3 linked regions of the Xenopus tropicalis genome follow. The protein of the gene in region 1 binds, or shares a complex with, the protein of each later gene. Links are inferred from orthologs where the notes say so. Each region holds a gene or a part of one and is shown in the gene's direction. Other genes may lie near its edges.

Region 1 (3,661 bases):
TATCTTGTTTGATCAGCAGTTTCTACCTGTCCTGATAAAGAGATCCCTCCTCCACTGCCAGAGCGAACCCCTGAATCCTATATAGTAGATACCGAAACAGGTAGGTATAAAAGAAAGCAAAAAAGCACCTCATCAACCCCTGAGATAAACTGATTGTATCAGAGGTTCTACAGAGTGGGTTATCCAATATATGAACCACTTTTTGGCTAACCTTGTTGCTTCCATACTTTGTAACTTTGGCAAATGGAGCACCTCATGGTAAATGAAGACACTTTGTTGGTTATTTTGTTTGCAATTGATTGCTTAGGAGACAGGGTTAAAGGCTCTAAAGGGTCTGTACGTCTTTTTATGCTTTTCTAGACTTGGGATGGTGGGAGTTGGAGGAAGTTTGTTCCTTTTGGGACACATGGGGAGGTGAGAGTGAAGTGAGAAATATTATCATGCTGTGGAAAGGCACAATTAAAAGGCAGTAAAATTCTCTGCACAGATTTATCAGTAATCTACGTGTATATAACATATAATTTTGAAATGTGACATGGGGCTAGCCATTTTCAGTTCCCCAAGTGCCCCCAGCCATGTGGCTTGTGCACCCTGCACCTGTGTGTGCAATCGACAAACTGGGGAATTTTTTTACAGGCCACACAGCAGGATAACATTGGGGAAGCCTTGTTATCTCGATGACATGTATACAGACAAACAGTTCCTTTACATTTCATAATTTACAGAGAGTCTATGCTGTCAACAACCAGATCAAAGTACTGCTATTCCACCCTCAGCTAGCCTCTTGATTCCACCAAAGAACATTTCAATAATTGTGGAGCAATCTGACACAGTTCTGATGGAGACTTCAGGTAATGTACCAAAATGGGAGTTTTTATACTATAGAACCAAAAGAATATAGAATAATTTTAACTCTGATAGACTGAAAGGTGGTTGTTTGGTATGGGTTCTTTACCTGAAGCAAACTCTGCACCAGTTATTACATTTTCAACCCTGAGGGTAGGAAAATATAGGCTAATGAAGACATTGTAGCCTGGTGTCCTAGGTAAGTTAGTGTTAATGATTTTTCTTGGAAGGCAGTGGTTACATTCACCCCCAGCACATTATATGCAGTTTTACAAACAAGCACCTTATATATAGACAAAGGCATTCGGTACTTACATAGCAGGCACATAAACTGTAGGGCAGTGGGTAGTGACAAACAACCCCCACTCTGCCACTGAAACATAAATTTTTATTGTGTGTGTGTGTATATATAAATATATACTGTGTGCATATTATATATATATATAATGAAGAATGGCGCCCCAGCACACTAGTGATCTTCAATCACAAACTAAAAGAAAAGAAGCAGCACATTGGTTTTATAATGAGAAAAAGGATGTATTAAAAAATCACATTAAATGTGCCACATTTAAGGCACAACATATGCCTTTTATCAAGCCATATACACACAACCTTATCAACCAGTTGTATTTAAAGTGGTGTACAGGATTTTAATCGGTTAAGGCCCTTTTCTATAAAATGTTTACATACAGGTAACGTCATATTGCCCAGACCAGATCAAAGTACTGCTATTCCACCTTCAGCTAGCCTCTTGATTCCGCCAAAGAACATTTCGTTAATTGTGGAGCAATCTGACATAGTTCTGATGGAGACTTCAGGTAATGTACCAAAATGGGAGTTTTTAAACTATAGAACCAAAAGAATATGATATAGACCTATGCTGAGAGATACGTGATTTCACCATCTGTGTGGTTTTACCTAAATAGATGAGACCACACAGACAGGTCAATGCATAAATGGCAAATTTAGAAACACAGGCATAATATATACATATATTTCAAATTATTCTAACACCCCCAGTGATTGAAACACTTCCAATATAGGGAAAAATGCCCAGGTACATCTAAAAGAAATGAATATCCATATCAAAAAATGGAGCACTCATGGGACTTATGAAGGCGTGATTAAGGGGTATATTTATCATGCTTTGTAAAAAGTGGAGTAAAACATTACCAATGATGTTGCTCATAGCAGCCAATCAGATGCCTTGCTTTGGTTTTCTAGCTGTTGAAATCTAATTGCTGATTGGTTGCCCTGGGCAACATCATCGATAATGCTTTACTCCACTTTTTACACAGCATGATAAATATACCCCTAAATGTATTTAATTATTGTCAGCTTTTCAGACCTGCTAATAGGACCTTTTTCAAGACATCCGGATGGTCCTCTTAGCGAGACTGAAAATTGACCACAATTAAGTGTTTTCAGATATATATATCTAACCTCCCCACCCTCTCCCCATGGACTTCTTTGTATCACATGTTTCTGCATTTTTTTCCATTATAACCTGCCCATTTCCTCTAACTCTAAATCTTCTTCTGTTCCCCCTGACTGTGTGCACTGTTGTGCTTTTAGTTTTCCTTGTACCACCTCAATTTCATACATAGACAGATTTCATAGATAGATAAGACAGATAGATAGCCGATAGATAGATAGATAGATAGATAGATAGATAGATAGAGAGATAGATAGATAGATAGCCGATAGATAGATAGATAGATAGATAGATAGATAGATAGATAGATAGAGAGATAGATAGATAGATAGTTAGATAGTTAGATAGATAGGCAGATCAGGTTTTTAGTAACTTTAGTAACTAGTTCACATTAGTAACTTCTATAGGACTGCTGAAATGTTTATGATCTTATAATTTGTGTTGTCTGTATTAACTATATCATACTTGTATTCATTCAGCAGAAACATGTGAGCTTCATCCTACACTTGTTCCTGCTGCCAGGAGTACAAAAATAGGGACTTCACAAGAATGGAGTGGCAGGGCCCAATATAAAGATGATGGACTTAAATTTATGACACGCAGCAAGGTAACCAAAAGTTACATTTTACATCAAATAGCCTTACTAATCAATTTCAATGGCCATGGAAGAAATCCACAAATTAAATTTTTTAACAACTTCCTACGTTACAAGTTTCAAATTGCAATGCAGATTAAGGCAAAAACTCCACCTGACTCCAACATGCCTCCAAAGGGAAAATGTTTATAATTTCACTCCAAAAATAATCAGATGAATTCACAAATAAGACGCTGCTTGTGACATAGTTGGAGGAGACTGGGAAGTCAATCTGTATATGTGAAAAAATAAAAATTGTAAGCTGTTAACAGCTGTTAAAACTGTAACACAAGAGCCATCAATACCCTGTAAATTATAAACCCTTAGTGATGTCATCAGTTATAATCGGTGCTCAGTGATGTCTTTTCTGTCACATGACTCACATACACTTTAGGTGTTTTATTAGTGAGTGATTCATTAGGTCCAGGTCAGTTGTGTGTTTAGGTAAGACATGCAAAGTGAACCCTTAGGGGCACATTCATCAAATCCCTAGTTCGAATCCTGAAATGGGTAAAATTCGGATTGGATACTATAATTTCTTATGATAGCAAATATCACAAAAATGCTTACAAAAAAATCAGAATAGTCACGATAATATCGTATTGGCGCTCTGAAAGTCACAACATTTTTGTACCAAACGATTGTAAACAGCGGGAAAACCTTTCCGAGTGTGATCCTTCTGTGCATGATTTTGGAAGCCTCCCATAGGAATCAATCACAAAAGAAAACTGTAGTCCGTGTTAGCC
Region 2 (3,661 bases), on another chromosome or scaffold:
GTGTAAGACTGAGTCAGCTTCCTGCTGATTGGCTTAGATCCACATTCGTAAGGGGGGGAGTGAGTTCTTAGCAGGGAACTCAGTGAAGCGTTTCTGTGGGTGCTTATGGCTGTATTTACATAGACCTTTCTGATAAAGCTTACTTAGTTTTTACCTTTCTTTCTCCTTTAAGAAAGCTTGCAAAACCAAGAGGTTCTGGGATATTTTGGTCAGAAAATACATACGGTTTGTTATAAAGGTGCATAAAATTATTGCAGTGTTGAATCACTCCTAGAAAATTATTCAGAAGATGCACCCTGTGACTGAACCTACAAGTGTAAGTGCAAGCTGGGACCTTGTCTTGTGACCGTTTTTTGTATTTTCTCCAGCAATATTTATCTTTGTGAAAGTTTGGGGATTTTCTAGTCACCACTGGTAGCCAAACACTATTGCAGCAGGAGTTTCAAATTGGCTATAGGTTTCATGCACATAAGCTAGCACACCGCATATAACACTGAGCTCAGGCTCTATTGCCATATGCTTCTTGCACAAGAGAGATTTCAGAGGTATAGCTTGCTGCAACTACATAGGGTCTAATCCTGACATTTAGTTGCATGAACCTAACCAGAAAACTGTCTCTTATCTGACATGTATGTGACTGTTCATGCAAGAAGTTTGTAGGAGGGGTTAATTACTTAGGGCGACTCTAATAACAGTGATTTTAAATTAATTGTAAAAATGGCAGGATTATTAATAGAAACACTATTGTCTGTTTCCTGCTGCCAATATCTGATTTATGAACTGGTTAGCTGTTGGCTAATATTTAATAAAAGTAATAGGCTTGATATAATGTATTTTTTTTTTTTTAATATTCATTTGTTATTCTCTACAATAACTAAGAATAATTAAAGCTCCTATTTTGTTAAAATAAAAATGTATTTTTGCTGTAATTGCAGATGTCATGCTTGGTGAACATCAAGGAGTGAAAGTAGCTGTGAAATGTATCAAGAACGATGCCACGGCACAAGCATTTGTAGCAGAAGCTATGGTGATGACGTGAGTGGTCCTCTTTGTGTGGGGTCTAGGCAGCTTGCATGCTAATATGACTTGATCACCCACTAGTTTTAATATAAGTGCAGCTGTGAGGCATAGATATGCCCTAAATTGTTACACATAGTTGCCCTGTTATTGCATTTTTTTAGGAATCTCCTGTATTTTGGGAATTGAGGGTTTTTAAAGGGGTCCTCTACCCAAACACTGATGCACAGTGAAATAAAAAGTAATTCCAATAAACATTAAACATTTTTCATGTTATTTAAATTATTTGTAAATGTAATTAGTAAAAAAACTGTAAATGCCAAAATCGGAATCTGCCTGGCTGTTTATATTTTCTCTTCTTTTGGCTCTAACTCAATAAAACAATGAAGCAGAAGACAGCTTTTGGAGACCTGAAATCTTTTAGTTGCAATTACATTTACAAATAACATAGAACCATTGGAACATTTTAAAAGGACATGTAAACCCCACACAAAAAAATGTAATCAGTGAACAGCCTCTTTGACATCTTTCAATCCCTGCCACACTGGTTGTCCAGAGGTTAATAGTAAGGCTGCAGCATCCCCTTAATCACTTAGATTTCCTTCTCCTCCTGTAACCCACTCAGCCCTCTCCCTCAGGAAGAAAAATGGCCACCAGGTGAAAGCCGCTATTTGCTTTAAGAAAATGTGATGGTGCTGGCAAGCGGAGGGGATATATGCAGTACAAATGATGCCATTTGGGTGGGGGAGATGTGTCCAACTGATATACATTGTAGGGAAATGTAGGCTTTACCTGTCCTTTAATGTATTCGTAGTGGAGCGCTGCTTTGAATGACATTGTCTTTCATTATGCAAAAAAACAGGTTTTAAGTGGAGATCCCCTTTAATTCTATAAGTGTTTAACGCCAAGATAACACTCCACTTCTGAACCACTTTTTCATGCTTTCATCCATAGTTATCACTGTTATGTAAAGTGCTCAGACCACATAACTCCACAATGTAAGAATTCTCAGTTTGATGGGGTGTAACTTTTTAATCAACTGTTTGTCTTCAGGCAATTGCAACATAACAATCTTGTGCAGCTACTTGGAGTGATTGTTGAAGATAAAAGTGGTTTGTTTATCGTCACAGAATTTATGGCAAAGGTAACTTCTTTCTTCTCTCTACCTTATTCCATCACTTTCTCTACTTAGAAAAGGCCAGAAAAAAGTAATCTGACATTTCTTTGGTCTTTTCAAACATCAGAAGAGTTTCCTCTTCCAAATTTTTAAGAATGCAAAAAGCTGCAAATGAAAATTATCCATATTGTTGAAAACATTAGAAGGCTGCTAAATGCAGTGCCACTTGCTGCTAAACTACATGTCTGTTTGAATTAGCACATAGTAACAACTTTCATTTTTGGAAGCCAAAATCAGCCATTTTTGGTAATTCTGAAAAGAACACACCTAATTAAATAACAATTTATAGATAAAGCAATAAACCGGGAAAAAGCTTTGCTTTGCATGAATTACTGTTGGCAGATATACTGTGACAGATGTTGTTCTTCATCTTTAGGGAAGCCTAGTGGATTATTTGAGGTCTCGGGGAAGGTCAGTGCTAGGTGGCGAATGTCTACTAAAGTTCTCACTGTAAGTATCCATTAAAACCTTACACAGGTTTGACCTATATAGTCTAATCTGTTCTTGTATTTTCAATTTTGAGACTGGTTGGTTCCTGAATTAACACCCAATGTAGGACCCTGGCTAGGGGTTTTTAACTGTTATTTACCATGTTATTGTTCTTGCAAATTTCTTTTAAAGCTGCTCCATGCCATTAGCAATACATTCAGATTTAGTGTAGCCAGCACTGTCAGTGAGTAGAGATGTGCTTGTGTTATCACAAACTCTCTCCTCCTGCTGTCTGTGAATACATTCTGAATATTAGCCTCAATTTCCCTGCAGACCATAGAGAGTAAGTAGCTCCATAGTTTGCAATCAAGTTTTCCAATGTACTGATAGCCTCATATTTTGGTGTGGCTTTGTAATGGGTTTGTATTTGTAAAGGTGGGCATACACTGTAAGATCCACTAATTTCGCGAGGTCGGCAAGAGAGCGGATCTTCTCCTGATATGCCCACGCTATGAGCAGGCGAAATCAGTAAAATTCAATGATTGGATCGAAACGGCAGGCATAGGCAACATTGGATTGGGGACTGCATCAGCAAGCTGATGTAGTCTCCGATCCGATGGAAAAATCAAACCTGCCCAATCGAGATATGGCCAGGGAGGCCCATCGGTGGTGCTCATAAACAGGCAGATAAGCAGCCAAATCGGTCTAAAGGACCTATTTCGGCCGTGTATGGCCACCATAAATCCTAAATGTACAAATTATATTTTATGTCCATAGTTCCATATTTGTGCCTGGGTTAGACAATTAGGGCACTGTATTTGTTTGAAGCTGCAAAATTAAAGCTTGTTAGACATACTTAACCAGCCCTTGTAGAACCGCAAAATCATCTAGTAGACTGCAGCCCACTTTGCACACAAGTGCTTAATATGAAATGCCACCAGTTCTTCAAATGTAGCATGCTTTCCCAAGCTGTAGATTAAATATAAGTTTTGTTTCTAATTTTGAAGTTTTAAAAATGTACAAAAGAACTTACTGGCA
Region 3 (2,503 bases), on another chromosome or scaffold:
GCCTTGCCCTATCTCGCTGATAGCCAGCTAGGGTAGGATGGTGGTGTATAATGTGTTCACTGCAGTGTTAACTGCCCCTCTACTTAGGAAACATAAGTGAAATGAAACCTGTGCTAAAGTAATGAACAAAATATGCAGATATTGTATTGTCTTGGCTGGCATTATTGATGGATTTAGGGCCATAATTGCCTTTTCAGGATAGTATGCTGCACTACAGTCAGTGGGCAGTTTAATCACAATGTGTCATAACCCTAATGGTTCGTTAATTTCAAGAATTCTGGGTTGGGTCAGTTTACCTTAAAGGAGAACTCCACCCTAACACACCGTAAGCTCTATATGAATTTTATGGAATAATATGGCTTGGAACAGTTACCTAAGCTTGGCCCCCTGTTCTGCTGCTGACTACTTTGTGACTCAAAAAAAATGTAACAGTAGTCGGCTTTCCTCGGCCTGCTTTCAGCCTGCATCCTTCAAATCACACAATTCTCTGCACACGTGATGCTAATAAGGAAAGAAACATCACAATGCAATGCATTGTGGGTTATGTAGATCCTTCATGCTATGGAGAATGATGTAAGCTGTGTAAGTTGTTACAATCTGTAACATCAGTGTTTTAGTCCCTCCTCCCCTGCCAGGATTTCAAATGATGCAGAAAGAGAAGAATCATTTTGCAGCTGGATTTCAGCATATAAAAATGGTATTTATTCATACTTTTTGAAGAAACCGATAATAGGTGTATTAGGAGTTTCTGTATTGTATGGGGCTGTTTAACAAATTTTGGTTGGGATGCCAGCCTTCCCCTTTAACAAATATGCATTCTAAGTATGGGTGTTAAAAGAAGCAAGATTAATTTATTACCAATTGGTTAGCCAGCATGGGAAGGTTATAGGGAACATCTGGAAACTCTACTCACAGTAAAAAAGTTACTAATTTCTAATTATAGATTCTTCAATTGTTCATGTGAAAAAAAATTCAGTTCACTCTGATATAAACCTGGTAATTTCAAGAATAAAAGCTCTTGTTAAAATTTCATTATTAACCTACAGTGATGCTCTGACATTTCTTCCACTTTAGAACTCAGATGAGCTGGATATCACAGCCGGAGATGTAGTTAGGGTGCTCGAGGAGGGAGACGATGGCTGGTGGACTGTGGAGAGAAATGGAAAAATAGGACTGGTGCCTGGGTCATACCTTGGGAAGCTCTGAGTAACAGTAACTGAGAACATTTCAGAATGGCAATTTGCTCTATACAATCCAACAAAGAAGTCACAAAAAGAACATTTCTGTCTCCAACTATAGTGGGTACAGTGAGTCTGTACCCCTAAATGCTGCACAAAAACGTGCCAGCTCCAATAAGTAAGGAGAATTGAGTGGAGAGAAAAGCTTCCTGGACACATTAACCTAATTGTGTAACACCAAGGGTATGCAATGAACAACTCTCACTTAAACTGCTTTTATGTTTTAGTTTTCTATAGGAAATGTTGTCCTGTTCTCATCTCTGCAAAGGTATATGGGTATCAATATATTGTATATGATTAAATAAACATCTGATTTATGTTTGTTATATAGTTAGATTTACATTTTACATAATAAAACAAAATATCAAATGAACGTACACCACTGCTTCAAGGCTATTAACCGCAGTTCACATGTTGACAAACACCAGCGCACAGGCCTTAATATTACTAGGGATCTTACACACAAGCGTTTCTTGCTATTCCGTGGTTCCACCTAACTGGAAGGCATAAGTTAACAGAGCCCAGTTACAACAAGTGTTCTCTGTGGTCCCACCGCAAATGTTAACTCTATGCACTTATACATTAAAGTCCATAGTAACTAGAAAATTATTTTAGAACCCATAATCACTTACAAATTTTGCTTTTAAAGGAACAGTTCAGTGTAAAAATGAAACTGGGTAAAATAGATTGTACAAAATAAAAAATATTTCTAAAATAGTTAGGCAAAAATGTAATCTATAAAGGCTGGAGTGAGCAGATGTCTAACATAATAGCCAGAATACTACTTCCTGCTTTCAGCTCTCTAACCTCTTAGTTAGTCAGTAACTTTAGGGGGGGCCACACAGGACATAACTGTTCAGTTTTTAAGCACACAGGTCCGATTCAAAAGCTAACTAACTGAACAGTTATGTCTCATATGCCCCACCCTCAAGTCACTGATTGGTTACAGACTGCTAACAGCTTAGAGAGCTGAAAGCAGGAAGTAGTGTTCTGGCTATTATGCTAGACATCTGCCCACTCCGGCCTTTATAGAATTCCTTTCTGCCTAACAAACTATATTGAAAACATTTTTTATTTTGCATAGTCTTCTTTACCCGGTTTCATTTTTACACTGAACTGTTCCTTTAAGGTAGCAGTAGATGTAGGGTTCCCGCAGCAGCATGTGTAACTGAAGCAGCAAACTCACTCTTAAAGAATTGGGCACAAGCAATTTGATGATGAATCCAGACTGAAATTATATGAAAAAACACTGCATTGTGTGTAAA

Evidence for each region.
Region 2: the proteins of ptpn22 (region 1) and csk are in contact, whole or in part, in an NMR structure (PDB 1JEG), measured with the Mus musculus proteins. The link is inferred for Xenopus tropicalis from reciprocal best matches to the Homo sapiens genes PTPN22 and CSK. Residues at the interface, in NP_033005.1 of Mus musculus: Pro614, Pro615, Leu616, Pro617, Glu618, Arg619, Thr620, Glu622, Ser623, Phe624, Ile625, Val626, Val627; in NP_001291690.1 of Mus musculus: Phe20, Thr23, Gln26, Ala40, Val41, Thr42, Lys43, Asp44, Asn46, Trp47, Ile59, Pro61, Asn63, Tyr64.
Region 3: the proteins of ptpn22 (region 1) and pstpip1 are in contact, whole or in part, in a crystal structure (PDB 7AAM), measured with the Homo sapiens proteins. The link is inferred for Xenopus tropicalis from reciprocal best matches to the Homo sapiens genes PTPN22 and PSTPIP1. Residues at the interface, in NP_057051.4 of Homo sapiens: Ser793, Lys794, Pro795, Gly797, Pro798, Arg799, Asn800, Pro801, Pro802, Trp805, Asn806; in NP_003969.2 of Homo sapiens: Thr225, Arg228, Asn229, Trp232, Asn236, Ser239, Met240, Cys242, Val243, Asp246.

What each region holds. Positions count from the first base shown.
Region 1 is NC_030678.2:62,517,147-62,520,807, reverse strand, and holds part of ptpn22 (tyrosine-protein phosphatase non-receptor type 22), read left to right. Parts: intron 1-16; coding exon 17-100; intron 101-725; coding exon 726-851; intron 852-1,538; coding exon 1,539-1,664; intron 1,665-2,760; coding exon 2,761-2,888; intron 2,889-3,661. UniProt on the Homo sapiens protein: Acts as a negative regulator of T-cell receptor (TCR) signaling by direct dephosphorylation of the Src family kinases LCK and FYN, ITAMs of the TCRz/CD3 complex, as well as ZAP70, VAV, VCP and other key signaling molecules.
Region 2 is NC_030679.2:94,046,204-94,049,864, reverse strand, and holds part of csk (tyrosine-protein kinase CSK), read left to right. Parts: intron 1-935; coding exon 936-1,035; intron 1,036-2,070; coding exon 2,071-2,161; intron 2,162-2,570; coding exon 2,571-2,644; intron 2,645-3,661. UniProt on the Homo sapiens protein: Non-receptor tyrosine-protein kinase that plays an important role in the regulation of cell growth, differentiation, migration and immune response.
Region 3 is NC_030679.2:90,488,515-90,491,017, forward strand, and holds the end of pstpip1 (proline-serine-threonine phosphatase-interacting protein 1), read left to right. Parts: intron 1-1,074; coding exon 1,075-1,206; 3' UTR 1,207-1,943; downstream 1,944-2,503. UniProt on the Homo sapiens protein: Involved in regulation of the actin cytoskeleton. May regulate WAS actin-bundling activity. Bridges the interaction between ABL1 and PTPN18 leading to ABL1 dephosphorylation.